Linked DNA regions of Astyanax mexicanus. Each later gene encodes a partner of the first gene's protein in a complex. Links are inferred from orthologs where the notes say so. Each region holds a gene or a part of one and is shown in the gene's direction. Other genes may lie near its edges. The genes, in order: tonsl and mms22l.

What was found.
Region 2: tonsl (region 1) and mms22l share a complex: the UniProt entries of both Homo sapiens proteins name them as parts of the MMS22L-TONSL complex. The link is inferred for Astyanax mexicanus from reciprocal best matches to the Homo sapiens genes TONSL and MMS22L.

Annotation. Positions count from the first base shown.
Region 1 is NC_064421.1:19,731,309-19,742,054, reverse strand, and holds the start of tonsl (tonsoku-like protein), read left to right. Parts: upstream 1-5,799; 5' UTR 5,800-6,075; coding exon 6,076-6,100; intron 6,101-7,452; coding exon 7,453-7,548; intron 7,549-7,640; coding exon 7,641-7,783; intron 7,784-7,868; coding exon 7,869-8,052; intron 8,053-9,611; coding exon 9,612-9,741; intron 9,742-10,564; coding exon 10,565-10,736; intron 10,737-10,746. Other genes in the region: edrf1 (erythroid differentiation-related factor 1), read left to right, coding at 1-35, 511-732, 853-1,079, 1,334-1,492, 2,224-2,373, 2,480-2,633, 2,757-2,875, 2,956-3,134 and 1 more. UniProt on the Homo sapiens protein: Component of the MMS22L-TONSL complex, a complex that promotes homologous recombination-mediated repair of double-strand breaks (DSBs) at stalled or collapsed replication forks.
Region 2 is NC_064411.1:31,625,639-31,635,979, forward strand, and holds the start of mms22l (protein MMS22-like), read left to right. Parts: upstream 1-5,544; 5' UTR 5,545-5,637; intron 5,638-8,723; 5' UTR 8,724-8,740; coding exon 8,741-8,913; intron 8,914-10,102; coding exon 10,103-10,228; intron 10,229-10,320; coding exon 10,321-10,341. UniProt on the Homo sapiens protein: Component of the MMS22L-TONSL complex, a complex that promotes homologous recombination-mediated repair of double-strand breaks (DSBs) at stalled or collapsed replication forks.

The DNA of each region.
Region 1 (10,746 bases):
CCTTCATTGTCTGCACCGGGAGAGCTCCTGCCAAGGTCTCTCAGCTATAACTCTAATGCATTCCATCTTTAACAATGTACACATTGTCTGCACATTGTATTATAGTATCTTAGGATGCACTGAATATTCAGAGACCTAAATTATGTAGTAAAAAAAACGTTTTTAATATGCCTGGTGGATATGAAAATGTTCATTGTTTAATAAATATTTAAAATTGTAGTTTTGTAAATTTGCTTAAAAGCAAGATAATTTTCAAGATTTTATTTATGCAATGGTTACAACAGGTCCAAAATGAATGAAAAACATGACCTTAAAATCCAAAAGCCAAATTGATTTATATTTTTCGATTTAAATTTCAGACAAACGTTTACAGTTCCTTGCATCATTTACTGGTGTCAGTCATGTTTTATGTATCAAATAAATTTCTATCATAATTCCTAAATAAGAGTGTTGTTTAGTCTTTTTGCTTTTATCCACTGTTGTAATGATCTGTGTGTATTATTTCTCCAGCATTCAACGTGGCCACTGATCTAGCCACTGACCCAGAGTACCAGCTGTTTGTCAGTAGTAAGTGTTATGAGGCTGCCCATGACCTTTTGACCTCTGAGGCTCTGAAGGACCTGGGCCAGGAGCAGCAGGCACAAGTTCTGAAGCGGCTTGGCAACATCCGCAATGAGATGGGTGTGTTCTACATGAACCAGGCTGCAGCTTTGCAGACAGAGAAAGAAGGGGGTGAGTGCTAGATTCTAGATTTCTAGATTTCAACCCAGGTAGCTTGTATTTACAGATCACACAGTGGTAGTATATTTAAAATTTTACTCTATTTTCTGTCCTTTCCTCTCTCTCTTGCAGTGCGGAGGTCGGTTTGTGCAGCAGAGCAAGAACTGTGGAAGAAAAGCTTTTCGTATTTTGAGAAGGGTATGCAGAACTTTGAGGCCATTTCTGACTCTGTGAATAAAGCTCTGCTGCTGTGTAACATCGGCAGACTGATGCGCATCTGTGCCCAGGCCCACTGCGCCATGACCTCTGAGGAGAGCAGAGGAGAGTTTTCTCCAGAAGAGGCTCTATATTACAACAAGGTACTCATGCACAAACTAACTATGCACCAGTTGTAAAACTGATTAGTTTTAAACTGAGCAGTGTAAAATGTATATAACATATTTGTCTTATCTTGTGTATAAATTGTTTGATTAGTCACAGTGCATTTACAGATCAATACAGTATATTTTTATGTAATCATAAAATATTATTATTATTATTATTACTATTTATTTTTTTATTTTTTTAAATCTCATTTAGCGTACTATAATCATATCCTTCTACCTGTGTTTAGGCTGTAGATTACTATCAGAGGGCCATGAAATGCCTGGGCAGCAGAGAGAGCCATGAAGCAGTATGGGACTCTGTTAACTGGGAGCTTTCCACCACGTATTTCACCCTGGCCACATTACTGCAGGACTATGCTCCACTATCCCGAAAAGCTCAAGAACAGGTAATGCACACGCTTGTGCACACGCTTGTGCACACACAGACTAAAGCACAATCCCATTTCTCTTTTGCTCCCCTACCCCTTGTTTTTGAGTGTGTAACTCGTCCCCTTGGAACAGAGTTACATGTGAAAGGGTTGAAATCCTCTCCAATAAGAATTGGGACAACCATTCATGCACCCTATACAGATATAAAACAGTGATGTGCTAAAGTTAAACAACCTAGTTGCTGGTTAATTAGTTAAATTTAGGGCATCCTATGTCTTTAGAAAGAGGGCCGATTGTGTAGCAATTATTGTTTCTGCTTTTATTAGCTATTATTTTATTGTAATTTTCCTCTTCATCTTTAATTATGCAGTCTCCTCCGACTGTTGAACCATTTAAGGTGGCTACTAAGCTACTTAGACTAACTAATAGCTGTTTTTTTATGCCTGTTATAAAGAAAATGGCCATAAAACATTGAATCTACACATTAAACTATGGTAATATAGTGGTTATCAAATTTATTGTACACATCGTGATATCGTAACAAAGAAAATACTCAAATTTGTGGGTTTCTTTGCTGCTATCTTGCTAGTGATTTTCTTAGGTAGGGCCAAGTGGGAAATGGTATTGGGCTTAGGCCACCTTACTGTAATCGGAATATACTATTACTAAACCATGAATGCTAGTTAAACTTATAACATTTAAATCAAGCTTTTCACAAAAGATTTTCCATTCTAACTTTTCACTTTAGATCGAAAGGGAAGTGACGGATGCCATGATGAAATCTCTGCGATACTGTGACCTCCAGACAGAGTCTGCTCGTCAGCCGCTCTACCAGTACAGAGCAGCTACCATTCACCACAGACTTGCCTCCATGTACCACAGCTGCTACCGTAACCAGGTAAACACATCCTCTTGTTCATTTCCATGTTTCCATTTCCATAGTCATATGCCCTTGCATATCAGTACAGACACTCACATTTACCTCGACTCTGTGCCTTCTGCAGGTGGGTGATGAGAGTTTACGGAAGCAGCATAGGTCTCTAGCAGAGCTCCATTACTCCAAAGCTGTCCGGTTGTTTCTCAGTCTGAGTGACGCACCATGTGAGCTTCTTCGCACGCTGCTTGAGAGAGTAGCCTTTGCTGAGTTTACCATGGCAGGTCAGTCTCACACAGTAGTCGGTAGTCTTTATTGCGCATGTGTGTGATGTATTTTTGCACATTCAAATGTCTGTCTTTTTGTGTTTAAACTTGTGTTAATGTTGCTATTTCTGTGTTTTTCAGGGCAGAGTAGTAGTGCTGTGAAATTAAAAACCCTAACAGGTGCTTTAGAGATCATGAATGAAACACGCCATGCCTTCAGGTTAATCCATAAGGAGCTACAGGAGCAAGAGCAGAAAGAGGTATACAGAGAGGCATGCCAAAAATGAGACCTTATTATCTTACTGTTTTGAAAGGTTAATGATTATTAATATGTTCGCAGGCAGTCGCAATAGAAGACACAGACAATCCTGATGAAGCCGGTGCGGGGTGTGATAGCTCTGCCTCCTCAGGCCTGAACACACAGGAGGTGCTGAAGCTGATTGGTGTCTTTGAGCCCAGTTTCTCCTTCCTGCTCCTGCAGCTGGTCAAACTCAGTGCCACAAGTAAACGGAAACCCAGGTGAAAATGAGATTTATGTACTCTGGTGTAAAATTGACTTTTGACCTGAACATTTGACCTTTGTTGAATAACCCACATCTGTTCTCCCTCATCTTTCTGAGATCCAGTAATTTTTTGCAGTGTCTCCAAACATGCTTTAGAATAAATGATATTGGGCATATTTTGCCCCTGCAGATAAATCACTTTTTACATCGTTTTACAAGCTCAAAGTAGCTCCACACCTTATTGATAGAATCCGGAGAGCCCTGACATTAAAATGAGGCATTAATAACTTTAAAAGTGCACAAGAAGCTTATTAAAAACCACTGTTCACAACCCGTAGCATGACCTAATCTCTGGGTGCCGCCATCACTGTACTGATCATGACTTTACTTTAAGATGGCCCGGAAATTAGGTTATGCTTTAAAATAAGGCATAATAAATTAATTGTTAATTAAGTGATTAGACAGGACATATTAATAGGGTTTGTCTGCAAACATTGGTGAAAGAATGTGTCGCTATTAGGATCTCTGGGAATTCCAGTCTGGCACTGTGATAGATTTCCTCACTGCTAAATATTCCACACTCAACTGTCAGTGCTAACGTAGTGGAAGTGACTGGGAATGAAAGTTGCTCGCTATGTCAACATAAAATGACTTTGTGGGGTCAGCAGATGCTGAGGCTCTAGTGTGTAGAGGTCACCAACTTACTGCAGAGTCAATCACTACAGACCTCAGGCTTCAGACTAGCTCAAGATCAGTAGAGTGTAGAGGAATGGGTTTCCATGGCCGAGCAGCTCCATCCCATCCTTACATCACCAAATGCAATTTAGGCAAGTGGATGCTTTCGGCAATATAGTGTAACTCTTTATACATGGTTGATCTGTTTGTGTATGTGTGTTAAACAGTGCTAAAGAAGAGGAGCAGGTGAAGGTGTACAAGCAGGTGTATTCTCGACTCTTGCGAGCGGAAAAGAACACCTCCCTGATCGAGCGGATTGCCCTCTATTTGGAACTTCTGGATCAGCTCACCCCACCAGCAGAAAGCGAAGAACCAGGACCATCAATGTGAATTGTACATTTGTGCAAATTTCCGAACTGACTGGTGCTACCCTCCCTGTAACTCATTCAGGCTGCGTGCTGAAAGAACGAGGAGCCTTATGGAATGGGCCTTATTCATTCAAACCTGAAAATGTGAATACATATCATAACAAGCAGTGCCTTGTCCTCTCACTCACAACATCTTCATCCAGACATTGTGACACATTACTTTTTTTTTTAACCATTAGCAACAGAAAATACATTTTGTTCAAAATATTCTATATTTAAAAAAATGTATAGTAAATATTTTCTAAAATTTTCAAATAAACCAACAAAACTACCTGTTTTTTGTTTTTGGTGGGGTGAGAGAAAGGGCACTTGACCGATTTAGTGGTGTACAACTAAGGTCACATTGGTTGATTTAGCTAAAAGCTCACAGTCTTTAAACATAAATAAACAATAAATATGTGCAATATTAAGGCAGTGTTCAGGGTTATGCTCTGTTTAAAGGAAGGATTCACTGAAAAGTCATTTTTATACAATTTGTGTTTGGGGGACTTTTGTTATTTTTGATCATGGAAAGAACTGAGTACATTTGATTATTCTGGTAAACAGTTCCTTTAGAGGCTTGTACAGCTTGCAGTGTTTTTGTATGAGTGTGTTTGCTGACTTGTTAAGATTATTAAAAAAAATGGACATTATTTTAAAAGTTCTGTGTCTTGGTTTATTTAATTTTACTTGTGTTGTTGTGAGCTAGTCCATAGCAGATATGACAAATGGCTTTGAGCATAGTAAAGACTTCCCAAGTCTCCCGGAAGTTGCAGGAGTCTACTGCATATCAATACCGGCTCCCTGATGCCCGCAAGTCAGAAAAAAATCTCCTTAAATCTACAACGAGTGGCCCAAGAGTGAACAAAAACACATACGCAGGCGACAGAGACTTTTTTTTCCCAAACGCAAGTGTGAAAGGAAGGCAAAGGGAGAGAAAGTCTCTTCCCTTGTGTGCATACTCATGAAGTGCATGCAAGACAAAGAGGATTCTACAAAGAGTCTGTGAGTCAGCCAATCAGTTTTTAGTGTGGGTGGGCAGTGTTTTTTTCCCCCTCCTGGATGGGATTCAGTGAAGAAGAAGCATCATGGCTCTACTACTCTAAAGTATATCCATGTCTTGTAAAATAATAATAAAAAAAAATGTAAAAAATCTTGCTTGCTGTACAGTTTGTTATAACTGTAATGGGGGACTAAATGATTGCAAAAGGCATGTTTAGGTATATATATGGGATGTCTGAGTATAAATCGAATACCCAATACAAATATAATTTGTCTGTGAATCTGTTGACTACTCCTCTTACCATTACTTCATATGATATGATATGACTTTTCTGTTTAAGACACTTTTCTTTTACATTTTTTTAAATATATTTCAATTAGATGTTACATTTTACTTATGCATTGGAAAACAGTAACAGTAATAACCATAGTAAAATTAATACATGCTTTTTCTTTAAAATCAGACTTCAATGTTTGTGTGAGTATTAGGAGCTGAAACGACCTTACCAATATGGCTTTACAATGTGGACCTCAGTAGGCGGAGCTTGATCTTTTACTGCCGGTCTGCTGCAGTAGCCAATCAGCGGGCAGCAGAGCTCTTGGCGCGGTATTGGGAACAGGAGATGTAGCTTGTGTAGTTAGTTAGCCAGCTAAGAGCGACGGTAACTTTTTGAGTATTGTTTTAGTTTTAGAGCGATGGATCGCTGTCAGAACTGACACTAGTACATGTCTGGAGATCGGTGGAGGATCGTGGTGTTTATTTAATATGCGAGATCCTGTTTCCGCTCTGTTTTGTCACTGATTTTTTTCAGTATTATTGACTTGCGATTCCTGCTAGCGAACTAGCAGATATCCGCTGCGTAACCAGGGACAATGAGTTCAGCGAAGGAGATCAGACGTGAGTAAAGTTTCATACTATTTAAACTAGGTAGATTATTGTCTTAATCAGATAAAAACTGCTAATTAGACTGTATATAACTAGTTATACTATAACTAGCTTTAAGCTATCCTGCCTGCTGTTGTCTAGCTCCTTAGTAAATAGCATTCATTTAACTTACTTATTCAGCTAGCCTGGCTAACTATTTAGCTAACCGTATAAAAATAATATTGTTATTATAGCCTAGCCCTATGACAGCTGTTTTATTGTATTCACTGTTTTCTAACACAGGCATATAACGTTAGCTGGGGTATCATTTATTTTTCGCAATCAGATAACTGTTACGTTATTTTGATCCATCTAATCCCAGACACGAAAATATTAAAATCACCTCTCATTATCAACCTTTTGAAATGAAGGTTACTACTTTAAAAAAGTCTTAAATAAACAGGTGGAAAAATGAGTTTTATGGTCGGTCTCAGTTGTTGTGACCCGTGGAATAATAGAGTTATTAAGTTAAATAGTTTACTAACCCCAGGCTAGTTATCACTATTTTCGAACAGAGCTCAAAAAAGAATTCTAAAAATGTATATTGTTTATAATGGTATAACGTTACTTGGTATATATGCAGAATAATTAATGTTACAGTAACTAACTCGGTTATATATATTTTCTGTTTATGCTTAATGTTTTACGTTTTTACGTCTGTGTTTTCATTGGCTGTAAGCCATAGTCATTAATAATAAAAGAAATAAACGCCTAAAATAGATCACTCTGTGTGTAAGACGTCTATATAATGAGTTTCATATTTTTGACTGAATTACTGAAATAAAGTAACTTTTCATTGATCAATTTTTTTGAGATGCACTAACATATATGCAGTAGTCATGTGACAGTGATGACATACTGTATGACAAATGACAAAACTAAAAAAAACAGATATATATGATTAAAGCACATACTTAAAGTATATCCTAAAACCTTTTCTTTTTTTTTTTCTTTTTTTTAACGCTGTAGGTATTTGTCTAAATTAGTGCTGGACAATATGGCCAAAATTTATTTCTTGATATATTCCTTAATTTCGGTCGAAATGATATAATTTCGTACTGTCAGAAAATGTAATTTGGTGGGAATGCACTGATTCATCATTAAGTAAAAATTTTAGAGCCATATAACTGACAATGTTTTAAATATGTTTTAATATTGTGACCGATGGCATTAAATAAATTAACTTTACTGGTGTTTTAGAGAGGTAAGTAATTGCTAGCTAGCTAACTACATTTCCAGTGTCTTCCTGTTGTTCTCGTCAGGTTGGACCACAACCTCCTCAACATTTTAGATTAAAATAAAATGTCCTTATTGTGTTTACACAGAACTGCAGAAAGCCAAAAGTAAAGCTCAGAGCAGCAGTAATCTGAAGGAGGAAGCTAGCCTCTGCAATCAGCTCGGAGAAGTCTTAGCCAAAAGTGGTAAGAAACCCAGGATAAAGTTTAGTTAAATGATTCCTCACAGTGTCAATTTCCCTGAGAATCTGCTGTTCACTCCTTTTGTGTGTTGTCAGGTGATTACCAGGCTGCTATTGAGGAGCATCGGCAGGAGCTGGCCCTGTCACAGGTTTTACATGATGTGATTGGTTGTGCTGTAGCCAATCGGAAGATTGGAGAATGTTACGCAGAGCTTGGCAATATCGCAACTGCTCTCAAAGTAAGAAAAGAGCAGTTAGTTGCTTTTCACATTAAAGAGACATTTAAGGTTTCCATGGTTTAGACACCTGTTTCTTTTTTTGCAGTATCAGAGACGGCATTTGGATCTGGCTTGCTCTGTAAATGATGCAGTAGAGGAACAGAGAGCTCTGGCCACCATTGGCCGGACTTACCTCTTTCTCCATGACACTGACCAATCACTGGACAGCCTGAAGCAAGCAGAGGATGCTTTCAAGAAGAGTCTGGCTATAGTGAACGAACATCTGGAAGGTGGTGTTCTTGTTTCCTAATGAACTCTAGTGGAAAATAAGTCAGCAGGTGACACGTACACAGTAGTGGGGAGTTGCGTCTGAGTACTAAAAAAGTTAGAATAAATTCCCAGGACATTTCTCAGCTGATGTTTTGAGCTGGTGTATTTACCTGTTAATGTTGATTTAAATACATTTAAGAAATGTAGACCTTGAAACTAGTCCTAAGTGGACCATGGTTATATGTATAAGAAAAATTAAAAAAAAGGAATGTAGGAGAATGGAAATGCAGTAAATTATCTGAATGAAAATGATAATTTTAATACTTTTATTTTTATATAGCTTGTATATATCTTGTTTATTATCCAAGATCAATGTATCTTTCTGATTCTAGTCCCTACAAACTAGCTACGGATACTTTCACTGTGGATATGGGCATCTGCTAAATACCCTTAATGTAAATGTAATAGCACTTTTCTAAAACCTAAAGACACTTAGGAAACATTGGATACATTTAAACGCACAGAATAGAAAAAAATGAACACAGAAGAAACATTTAAACACACAGAATACAGAAATAACATTTACAGAGGAGAATCAACCCATTACATTACATTACATTACATTACATTACATTTGGCAGACGCTTTTGTCCAAAGCGACTTACAATATTGAAGTGCAAATAATAGAAGAGGTTAAGTACAAAAATAATAGAAGTTAAAAATAAAGCATCTATAGATAGGGCCTTAAGGAGGTCAGAGGGAAATAATGGGATAGAGGAGTAGAGAAGAGGAAGAAGGAGATGAGGTTAGAATTAGTTAGTTTGTTAGAGGTGTTAGGAGATTAAGTGCTCTTTGAAGAGCTCTGTCTTCAGGAGTTTATTAAAGATAGCGAGAGATTCTCCTGATCTGGTAGTGGAAGGTAGTTTGTTCCACCATTGGGGAACTCTGTATGAGAACAGTCTGGATTGCTTTGTGTGAGTGTTTGGCAAAGCGAGGCGACGTTCATTGGAGGAGCGCAGCGGCCGGGAGGTAGCGTAAGCCTTCAGGAGCGAGTGCAGGTAGGAAGGAGCCTGTACTGTCATCACCTTGTAGGCGATTGTAAGAGCTTTGAATTTAGCCAGTGTAGCCAGTAGCCAGTGGAGCTCAATGAGCAGCGGAGTGACATGTGCCCGTTTTGGTTGGTTGAAGACCATATCACATACAAGATACAAAGTACAAAGAATATAGAAACATTCAACACGCAGACAGAACAGATGAGGAGAATCAACCCAACAGTATTATTGTGTGCGAGCATGGAGAAATTCTGATCACCACAGCTGCAGAGTTTAGATGTCAGTGCATTTAGAGGCCTAGCAGTAAAAGATCACAATTGTTTGCATAGTAAACCAGCATCATTAACATTTGTACTCTGAACATTCAGAAAATGTCATAACATATAGTGTAATATCAGTTCATTCTTTAAATACCTTTTGATATTGATAAGATTTAATTATAAAATTTGATATTACTGGCTATTACTGTGTTTTTTTGCAGTGTTTGGGGCTGATGCGTACATCTTGTATATGTATATGTGTCTCAGGGAGAGTCTCGGCTCGGGAACGGAGTGAGATGAGAGCACGGCTGCTGCTGAATCTGGGCTTTGTGTGCGATGGTTTGAAGGACCCACAGCGCTGCAATGAATTTATTCGTCAGAGCATCTACATCTCAGAGTGAGACTCTCCTCCTTGCAGCCTTTAATTGTCTGCAGCATGTGGTTCATGGCTTAACCCTTGTGTGGTGTTCGGGTCTGTGGGACACGTTTTCATTTTTCATCAAATGATACAAAAAAATATATTTTTTCTAACTCAAACTCATTGGCATTGGCTCATTTTTTGTGAAAAGCATATATCAAAACACATTTTCGATAAACACACACTGTACACCCCCCCTCCCCCCACACATTTATATTACATACAGTATGTTTGGCCAAGGGCTAATAAACATTGCTTCATTTGTAAATTTGAAACTAAACAAATTTTCTACTCATATCTTGAGTTTAATTCATTTTCTTTTACATTTCATTAAAAAACTTATTAAAAAAAGAGTAGCACTTTTTAAAAGAAATGTAACACAAGAAAGGTAAAGGGCAAATATTAACCATATAAGCTGTTTATATTGCTTGCAATTTATGTGAAGCAAGCATGTGTAAAGCATTTTAATGTAAAATTGCTTAATTTTGCTGAATTGAATACAAGTAACAAAGTAAACGGGTAACAAAAATATGAACACCACACAAGGGTTAAACAGAGGTAGTGAAGGTTCACTGGTTAGAAAGTTTGGTTATTATCCAGAAGTAACGTACCCACGGTAACTAGGTCTTGACCAGCATAAGGTATGATTTTTCTGGATAACCAGCTGGTCAAGAAGGATAATCCCAGAATTGTAGGTTCCATACTAATGTCCACACAGCTGCTACTCTTGGTTTTTTAGAAGGAAACATGTCCATGTGATTAATTAATCCGGCACCTAACACTGGTCCTCTCCTGTTCTTAGGAAGAACAATCTTCTAGAGGATCTGTACCGAGCCAACTTCAACCTAGGTAATATCCACTTCCGGAATGGTCAACATTCGCTTTCCATCCGATGCTTTGAGAAGAGCAAAGAGTGTGCACACAAGATGAGCGACAAATATAGCGAGAGCGAGTGCTTCTACAATATTGGAAAGGTATCGGTCA
Region 2 (10,341 bases), on another chromosome or scaffold:
CTTTTTTGAACATGCTACCATTGAGTTTTTAATGAAATGCTAAAATATCTCACTTTCAACATCTGATATGTATTCTATGTACTATTGTGAATAAAATATGGATCTACCCAAATATGGAAACTAACAGTAACACTAAGGACTGGATGTTAACCACGTCTCTTTTAGCGAATGATAAGAAAGCTTTTGGCTGGACGTGGCAGAAGCACACCCCACACTGCACACTCCAGTAAAGTCGAGTTATTAGAAGAAATAATGTCCTAACAGTTACTGAACTCAGCGCTCTGCTCAGACACTCGAAGCAGTTTAATGTGCATTTAGCTCTTAGATATGTGTAATCACACACATTACCGGTCCAGCAGAACACGTCCATCCCCCGGAGCCTTCACTCTCCAGCAGCAGCTCTCCTCCTCCTCCTACACACACCCTCATACACCCATACACACACACACACACACTGCCACACTGCCATGCAAATAACCTCCAACCCAGAGACTCGCCACTTTCCTACTGTACGCTGCTATCAGCATGCAAATGGCACATTTATCTAAACCCTGTATCCACACACACTCATACACACACACAGAGCGCTATACACTCTGCTCTAGAGGATAATATCCATTAGACTGTTAATTCTACCTCAGATACACAGATACACACTTTTTGCTGAGCCATATCAAAAATACTGTATATATGATGCCTGATTTACCAAGAAATATTTTCCTTCAAAAACATTGTTAGTAATGCAAAACAGAGCATTTATTTTTTTATTGTAAGGTACATACAAAAAAAATGTTTACCTGTCCTGTTGTGTGATGTAATATAAATGAAGTATGAAATATCAACATTAATAATGTCTAGACACGTGCAGATGTAAATCAAAGAATAGTTAAAGTATAAAGTATAAACCAGGGTTGTAAAGTATAAGTATAAGACAAAAAATGTAAGATCAACTGAGGGCAAATTAGCCCCTTTTTATAGGGCTAAATCATGTGGTTAGAACTCAGGTGATCTACTTCCTGGAAGTGTCACATGCTGTTTTATGTGATCAGGATTGGGTGTAATGTCCCAACTTTTCCATCACTGAAAACCACAATTCTGTATAGGATCTTAAGATTATACAGTTCTAGTTCTAGTTCACAACAGTACAGCTTGCGATGGTGCGGTGCTGACATATGGCCTAGATAGTAGCCAATTCATAAAAACGAGCATATTTCTTGTTTAATCCGATAATGCGCCCCCTCCCAATGTCTTTCAACTGGTAAAATATCTTTAAAGTGCATCATAAATGCATATCTAGCAGTCAACAATCTCTCACCGAGAGGACACCATCCTTTTGACGAGTAGCCTCTCAGAGTTAACATTACCAATACTTAAAATATTTCATGACATGATTGTCTGGGTTGTGTCCCAATTGCATACCACATAATTGTAAGGGCTCACCCAAAAAGGGGCTTGAATCCAGGTCTTATGGTTCTCACAGCACAGCCTCCTAACTGGGTGAGCTAACTAGTAGAGGTGGTTAATAGGAACCAAGGGCCTTTTATGAGCTTTCGGCCATCCTTTTGATTGTGGATTTTCCTAGTCACTGCAGTGGATTGGTGGCCTGTCCAGGGTGTATACTGCCTTTCACCCAATGCCGGCTGGGATAGAGTCCAGCCACCAACACGACCCTGATAGTTAAATTGTTGCTCATTGCAGAGAAAATACTACATTTCAACAGTTTTCTAAAATAGGCCAAAGAAATGTTGCAATCTTGCAGAGACATACCTAGGAAACTATTTTTTTGTGTGGACAAATATTATCCTACTGAAAAATGCCTGTTGGAGGCCCTGCCATGAGAAACATATTGTTGAACTGCTAGTAACTCTTGTATCACTACTAGGGTTGAACAACTTTTCATCACACCAGCAGTTTTGGGGCAGTGTGTTGCTCCACAGTAAATTGCTTACAGGACTAAAGCGCTCACCAGGAGACCTCCATACTCAAACCTGACTATTGTTGGATCTGAAGAAGATCTAACAAAACCGTTCTAGTTCTAGTTCACAGCAGTACAGATTTCTCATCTGCCTAAATAGAGGCAATTCATTGAAATGATAATGCTGCTTGTTTTAGTCCAATAATGCGCCCCCTCTCAAAGTCTTTCAACTTGTAAAATGTTTAAAGTGCATCATACATACATATCTAGCAGTCAACAATCTCTCACCAAGAGGTACACTACCCAAACAAGTAGCCTCTCAGAGCCTTTTTTGCGGCAGCAAGGGAAGTACATTTTTACACCCTCTTGTGGCAAGACCCAATGTCTTCTACCTTGAATACCACACCTGTAATTGTTTAAACATGCATGTGGATGAGGCATGTATGTATACCAGTAGTTTAGCACTTTCACTGTGTTTGGAATAAGAGAAAACCATACAGACAGCAATGAAGTAAAGGATTAGCGCCGTGCTGGACTGCTCCTACAGGCGCAGTGTAGAAAAAGAGAGAAAGAGATGTTCATCTTAACTGAAGCAGCATGTGCACTGCTAAGCCACCAGGCCTGGGGCAGGGAGAGGACAGAAAGAGAGAAATAAGAAGGAATGATTTTTACCACAAGCCGAACGTCATGCTCTGGGTCCAGAGGCCCTAGAGGGACGCTGATAAAGCACCTGGACATTTTTATAGACAAACCACTTATTCCTGTCCACCGTATCGCTCGGGAAGACTGATAACTTTCCATTTCTCCCGGGCTGAGAGTTGGAAGGGCCGCAGGTTTGAAGAGGCCTTTCTCCAATTTAATTGATCAAACAGAAGCCCCCCCGAGGCCCAGATAAAGCAGCCCTGGCCCGATTTGCAGCACAATGGCCGGACCGTTTTGGGGGAGAGCAATAACGAGTAAAATACGACTCATTATGTCCCCTCATTGTACAGTATTAACCGCATGTCACTTTTTTAAAGAAAGGTCATTATATGCGTTCCTATTATCCTCGGAGGTCGCAGAGCAGGTCATTTTTAAAGTGCACTTTTTACAGTACTGACTCTCTACTACTCTACACTGACTAAAAAGAGCATTTGGCCATAAAATGGGAATGTAGAATCACCTGACAGAATTTTCAGTAGCTTGCAAAAGTATTTATACCTCCTGAACTTTTTTTTTTACATTTTGTCACCTTACAAGCGCAATCTTAAATGTATTTTCTTAAGATTTTAAGTAATAGACCAACAAAAAAATAGCACATACAGTAGTGTGAAAAAGCATTAGCCTCCTTCATGATTTCTTTTTTTTTTTTTGCATTGTTGTGTTTTTCGCATATCTTAAAAGTTTCAGATCATCAAAACAAATTTAAATATTGGTCAACCACAACACAAGTAAACACAAAATGCAGTTCTTCAATTAAGGTTTTTATAATTATGGCACAAAAGTGAAAACAAAACTTAACTGTGGTTTATAACACTTAAGTTCAATTTCTTTAGCCACACCCAGTCCTGATTACTGCCACACCTGTTCTCAATCAACAAATCACGTAAATAGGACCTGCCTTACAAAGTGAAGTACACCAAAATATACACAAAAGCTAGACAGCATGCCAATCTTCAAAGAAATTCAGGAACAAACAAAAAAAATAAAGTAATTGAGATCTATCAGCCTGGAAAATATTTTAAAGCCATTTTTAAAGTTTTGGACTCAAGAGAACCACAGAGAGATCCACAAATATCGAAAACCTTAAACAGTATTGAATCTTGCCAGGAGTGGCCGCTGACCAACATTATCCCAAGAGCACAGCGACGACTCATCCAAGAGGTTACAAAAGACCCCACAACAACTTCCAAAGAACTGCAGGCCTCATATGCCTTAGTTAAGATCAGCTTTCATGACTCCACTATGAGAAAGAGACTGGGCAAAAATGGCCTGCATGTCAGAGTGCCAAGATGAAAACCACTGCTGAAAAAAAGAACATCTCAATTTTGCCATTTTGCTGATCCCTAAGACTTTTGGGAACAACACTCTGTGGGCCGATGAGACAAAAGTTTAACTTTTTAAAAGTGTGTTTCTTATTACATCCGCCGTAAAAGAAACTCCACATTTAGAAAATAAAACATCATACCTACAGTAAAACATGGTGGTGGTAGTGTGAAGGTATGGGACTGTTTTTCTGCTTCAGGACCTGGAAGACTTGCTGTGATAAATGGAACCATGAACCCCACTCTCTGCCAAAAAGTCCTCAAGAAGAATGTCCGACCATCTGTTTGTGACCTTAATCTGAAATGAACTTGGGTTCTGCAGCAGGACAATGATCCAAGTCCACCTCTGAATGGCTATCCTATTAAGATGCTGTGACATGACCTTGAGAAGGCAGTTCATGCAGAAAAACCCTCCAATGTGGAGGAATTACAGCAATTCTGTAAAGATGAATTGAACCAAAATTCCTCCACAGAGATGTGAAAAACTAATTGCAAGTTACCACAAACGCTTCATTGCAGTTGGTGCTGCTAAATATGGCCATAACAGTGATTAGGTTTAGGGGATCAATTAGTATTCATCCCTTGGAGAGCTTCTGTGAACTAAAATTTTCCTGTCTTGCCACAGAAGCTCAATGGATTTAGTTCAGAATTTTGACAGGGCCATTCTAACACATGAATATTAAACATGAATATTTAAAAAAAGTACTTCAGTGAAATTTGCTAGCAAACCTTTTTTTTCCCAATTTTTGTGTTGCTTATAAAAAATAAAATCGTGCTGATGATTTTGGATGTTAAATACTTCACACAAATATACTTAATATACTTCACACAAATATACTTAATATACTTCACACAAATATACTTAATATACTTCACACAAATATACTTAATATACTTCACACAAATATACTTAAATTGTATTAAATGGTGAACATTACAAATGACTAATATACTGCAAATTTATATCATTTTAATTACAAACAAGTAATAATATAGTATAGTCCGAAATAACATAACTTATGTACAGACCTCAGCATAATTTAAGTATACTTTTTTTTACAAGGGCGTGCTCAGAAAACATCAAACCTGACTGAACTGGAGATGTTTTGTAAAGAAAAATGATCCAAAATACCTTCAACCAGAAGCCAGACCCTCATTATAAGCTATAGCAAGTGTTTAAAGTTATTTCTATTGTTATTTCTGCCAAAGGACGATCTACTAAATATTTATGTCATTTTCCTTTTTTTGTAAATCCTATTTTTCATTTCGTGTTCGTCTGCTATGTGATATATTTAACTGAAATTCCTGATCCGAACAACCAATGATTTATAAAGGAAAATCATGAAAATAATCAGGGGTGTCCAGACTTTTTCATACAACTGTAAAAATCAGTATTCAGTGGTCTTAATGTTGCGGCTGATATGTGAATATTTAAATAGTTTTATTCTCTTTACCTGGCAGTGTTCCTAACGTTATGGCTCATTGTATTCTATGTAAATAAAAGTCCGTACATTTGACCGCACTATTATTTTGTAGGCTCTTGTTTTGTTTATAATAAAGCCCCGTGATTGGTCACAAGTCCTAACGTCTCACCCCTTCGGAGAACTTTGAACCAATCACAGAAGCGAGTCGGAGGATTCTGCAGTCGTGCGCATGCTCAGTGTAAGCGCGGGATTGTGAACAGCTGTAAGCGGAGCGGTGAGTTAAACGCGTTACTCTATAAATACTTAAATAATAGTCGATTAATTGGGGATCGTTTTGCTGATGTTGGATAGTAAGAGCTGTCACTCATTTAAGCGCGAGGCTGTAACGTCGCGAGAAGGTTTAAGAGACGGATTTTGGTTTTAGGCTGTAACGTTAATACTAATGCTGACGGTCAGCAACACCGATACAGCCTCGCGCAGTTTAACAGTAACGTTAAGAATATGCACGAGCTGCAGTAAGTGTTTCTATTAAAGTGTCCACTAGTGAGTAGAAGCACTAGATACAGTAGGTGTTTCTAATAATGTGGCCATCAGTGAGTGGAATCACAAGATACACTAGGTGTTTCTAATAAAGTGTCCGCTAGTGAGTGGAAGCACTAGATAGAGTAGGTGTTTCTAATAAAGTGGCTGGTAGGGAGTAAAAGCACAAGATACAGTAGGTGTTTCCAAAAAACTGGCCACTAGTGAGTGGAAGCACAAGATACAGTAGGTGTTTCTAATAAAGTGGCCAGTAGTGAGTGGAAGCTCAGGATACAGTTGGTGTTTCTAATAAAGTGGCCGTCAGTGAGTGGAAGCACTAGATACAATAGGTGTTTCTAATAAAGTGTCCACTAGTGAGTGGAAGCTCTAGATACAATAGGTGTTTCTAATAAAGTGTCCACTAGTGAGTAGAAGCAAAAGATACAGTAAGTGTTTATAATAAAATGGCCAGAAGTGAGTAGAAGCACTCTATTGCACACTGTGTAATAGAGTAATTACTACCTCACCTGGTCACCTGGTCTTTTTTGCACACTGCAAAATTTGCACACTGTCTTGTTATTTATTATTCTTTGTCTGTATTGTGTTGTATTGTCTGTCTGCACTTTTGTACTGTTGCACTATTGTTCTGTCTACACTGTGTTTATGTGCACCATGGTCCTTGGAGGAACGTTGTTTCGTTTCACTGTGTACTCTGTATATAGCTGAAATGACAATAAAAACCACTTTGACTTTGACTTTGAGATACTCTAGGTGTTTCTAATAAAGTGGCCACTAGTGAGTGGAAGCACAAGACACAGTGGGTGTTTCTAATTAAGTGGCCAGTAGTGAGTGGAAGCACAAGATACAGTAAGTGTTTCTAATAAAGTGGCCAAACAGTTTTAGAATCAAATGCACGTTTGAGCTGCATGGGCACGAGCTACAGGTGACATGAGGTGAAATGAGAATTGATTGGCTGCATGCCTTCACTATCCACCAATCATTTTTCTTCAGTCTTACGTGACCTTTTGTGTGTGCACTTATTACAGAATTTGATTTAACTCCAGTTGCCTTCAGTAGCTGCTATCGCATTCATGATCCAGTCCTTTAGGCTCCAGGACCGAGGTTGAGAATCACTTTTATAGTTTATAAAACAAAGCCTTTTAGAGTGAGTTTGGTGTGAAATGCTTAGTTCTAGAGAAACATCTAGTAATTGTTCAGATTTAATCAGATGTTATGAATACACTGCCAGATACCCGATACACTGTTTGACGGAGTTGAAAAGATTTCAGGAAAAATATATATATTTATAATAGTGTGTCTTTAAATTGTGGAGGCATACATGCAGGTTGTATTCTCTGTATTCGCTTAGATTCTCTGCCTGACCCGAGGCCCGACCTGAACTCCGGCTGGGTCGGGCCGAGATTTCCCACCACTCCTCGGGTTTGGTCGGGTCGGGATGTGTTTTTAAATGCAATGTTGATTTTATATAAAGCTATGGCATAACAATTGCAATATAGCAAAGTAACAAATCAAACTGAGTTTTAAATCAAATGTTGCACAAGTTAGAATGTTATGTGTTACTGTTACTGTTTTATGTGTTTTGCACTAAGGCTATATGTTTAAAATAAAAATAAAAAAATGTTTGTCCAGTTTTATTTTCATAGACATTATTAATTATATTAGAGTAGACGGGGAGATCTGTTCTTAATAAACATTGTTCTTAAATAATAGGTCTATGCTTCTTCAGTGTTGTAATGTTAATTAACATTATTCTGAACAGATTTAGCTCATTCAAACAGCCTGAAAATGTTTTTGAAAAGCTCAGTTTTAACACTCCACTTACTAAAAAAATGTCTTGTTTAATTCAGGCTCGGGCTCACAAAAACAGTTTACAGGGCGGGACGGGTCTGGCTCAGGCCAGGTCGGGCTGGATTTTTTGGGCCCGATCTAAGCACTAGTTGTAGTGCAAAAAAAAGTCCCCAAAGAAAATGTCAAAGTCAAGTCTGAATATTATGACTATCTCCTTGTTTCCGCTCGTTGTCCGACTTATTACTTCCACATTTAGTAGTTATATATAAATACTATATATTACCTAATAACTTTGTGCAACTCTTGGCGGCAACAACTTCAATCAAGCTTTACTGATAACTGGCAATGAATCTTTCACATCTCTTTTGAAGGAGTTTTGTTCCACAATACAATTTATCAGATTGTATCGATACGTAAATGCAAAGTTTATGTATCGTCATCAGTATTGGATCAGCACAACCCTAGTTCCTTTAACCACCACTCTCTCTACAAAAAGAGAATCTACAGCTCTAGAAAACAATGAGACCACTAATGATGAGTTTCTTTTATTTTACCAAACTGAAAACCTCAAGAATATAATCAAGAAGAAGATGGATGATCACAATCCATCAAACCAAGCTGAACTGCTTGAATTTTTGCTCCAGGAGTGGCATAAAGTTATCCAAAAGCAGTGTGTAAGACTGGTGGAGGAGAACATGCCAAGATGCATGAAAACTGTGATTAAAAAACAGGGTTGTTCAACCAAATATTGATTTCTGAACACTTTATGATTGTGAACTTGTTTTCTTTGCATTATTTGAGGTCTGAAAGCAAATAAATGCTCTAAATGACAATATATGTTTATTTGGAATTTGGGAGAAATGTTGTCTGTAGTTTATAGAATAAAACAACAATGTTCATTTTACTCAAACATAAACCTATAAATAGCAAAATCAGAGAAACTGATTCAGAAACGGAAATGGGCTGTTAATTTTTTCCAGAGCTGTATATGAACTTACTGTCCTGTAACGCTTGTTTTGTCTGTTTCCACAGTTGGCGTCAGCAGTGTGATGGAGGATGATTTCAGTCCGTCTCTCACTCCACCCATCTCCCCGTTCATGCCGGAGGATGTGTGTGAGCCGATCACACGTCCGCCCTGCTTCACCTGTGTGTACGAAGCAGGAAGAGAGGATACACACGCTCTGTCTTCTGACGGCTACGTCAGCAGAGGAGTTCTAAAGAGGTCTAGCACCTTTATTTCTGCATATTTTATCATGGATAGTAATACTATTAGAACTTTATTCTAGATATTAAGATTATTCAAACTGGATTAATGCAGTATTATATTAGGAAATATAAGATCTCAACCGAAATAAAAAAAAAAGGTTTTTTTTTTACTAAATCTAAAATTTTAGTAAAATTTTACTAAATCTGATTGCAGACAGTATAAACCAAAGATATTTCAGGTATTGTCTAATCAGCTTTATTTTATTTGCAACACCTATCAAAAAAGTCAGGGCAGGTATATTTTAGGGCTAATAATGTGGTAAAAAATTAATCATGATTTGTTATAAAAACAGTATCCACAAAAATCTAAGCACTAATGATCAGAGAAAGAAAGAGGCCATCCAGACTGTTATCAGAAACAAGTCCTAAAGCCAGGATCTGACATGCTAGATCCATGGTAGGACATGGAGTGTATGTCTCGGAGAGGGAGAGTCCACGTGGGTTGGCGAGAGACAAAGCAAGTGAGTTTTATCACAGTGGCGGTGTGTCAACAATGTGAATGACCGGGTTGAATGATCACCTAGTTTCTGCGTGTGCTGTTTACCAAAAAGCTCTACTTTTTTTGCTTACCCTTTTTTATGTTTGCTGTGGAATTATATCCAATTTGGCTTTTTGACAATTCTTTTTGTGGTTTTCCATTGAAGACAAATTAAATTAACATTTTAATATCAAAACATTTGTAATTGCAATCCTTTTCTGGGAAAAAAATGGAGCATTATCTGACAGAATTGCAGGGGTGCCAATACTTTTGGCCAGCACTGTAAGTACAGAGACATTTTGCTCAGTGCCTTTTTGGTATTGAATTTTGATACCCAGCCCTAGTCTGGCCTCAATAGTAAATGTGGAGAATTTTCAAACTGAAACTAGAATGATGATCCCATACTGTTGCTTGCCTTAAGTGAAAAACGCAGGAATGGATGTACTGTATTTTAACAAATGAAATGACGTTGACCAGTCTTTAATATTTAAAATATAGAGTTAATGTTAAAAACTTTTTTTCATTTATTTGGGATTTTGTATGAGGGTCAGGCCCAACTCTTTTTTTGTCATTGTTGTGAATAATATCATGTTCATCATTACACTAGTTGTCTTGGCACATGTGCAGACAGTCTGCTGCAGCTCGTAATTTTACCGCTCTCCCGCAGGTTGCTGTTGAAGTTGGACCCGTTTCCTGCGTGCTTTGAAACAGATACTGTAGATATTTTTGGCTTCTCCTGGGTGACTGAGACAGCGCTGGTGGAGTCCACTAAACTTCTGTTTGGCTTGTTCAGGTGAGCATGTGCAGATTGTGGATTTGGAGCTTGGCCACACTGTCTGCTGACTGAGTTAATTTGCTAATTTCACAGTCTGTCTGTCATTTCAGACAAAAAGTGTTCCGACTGGA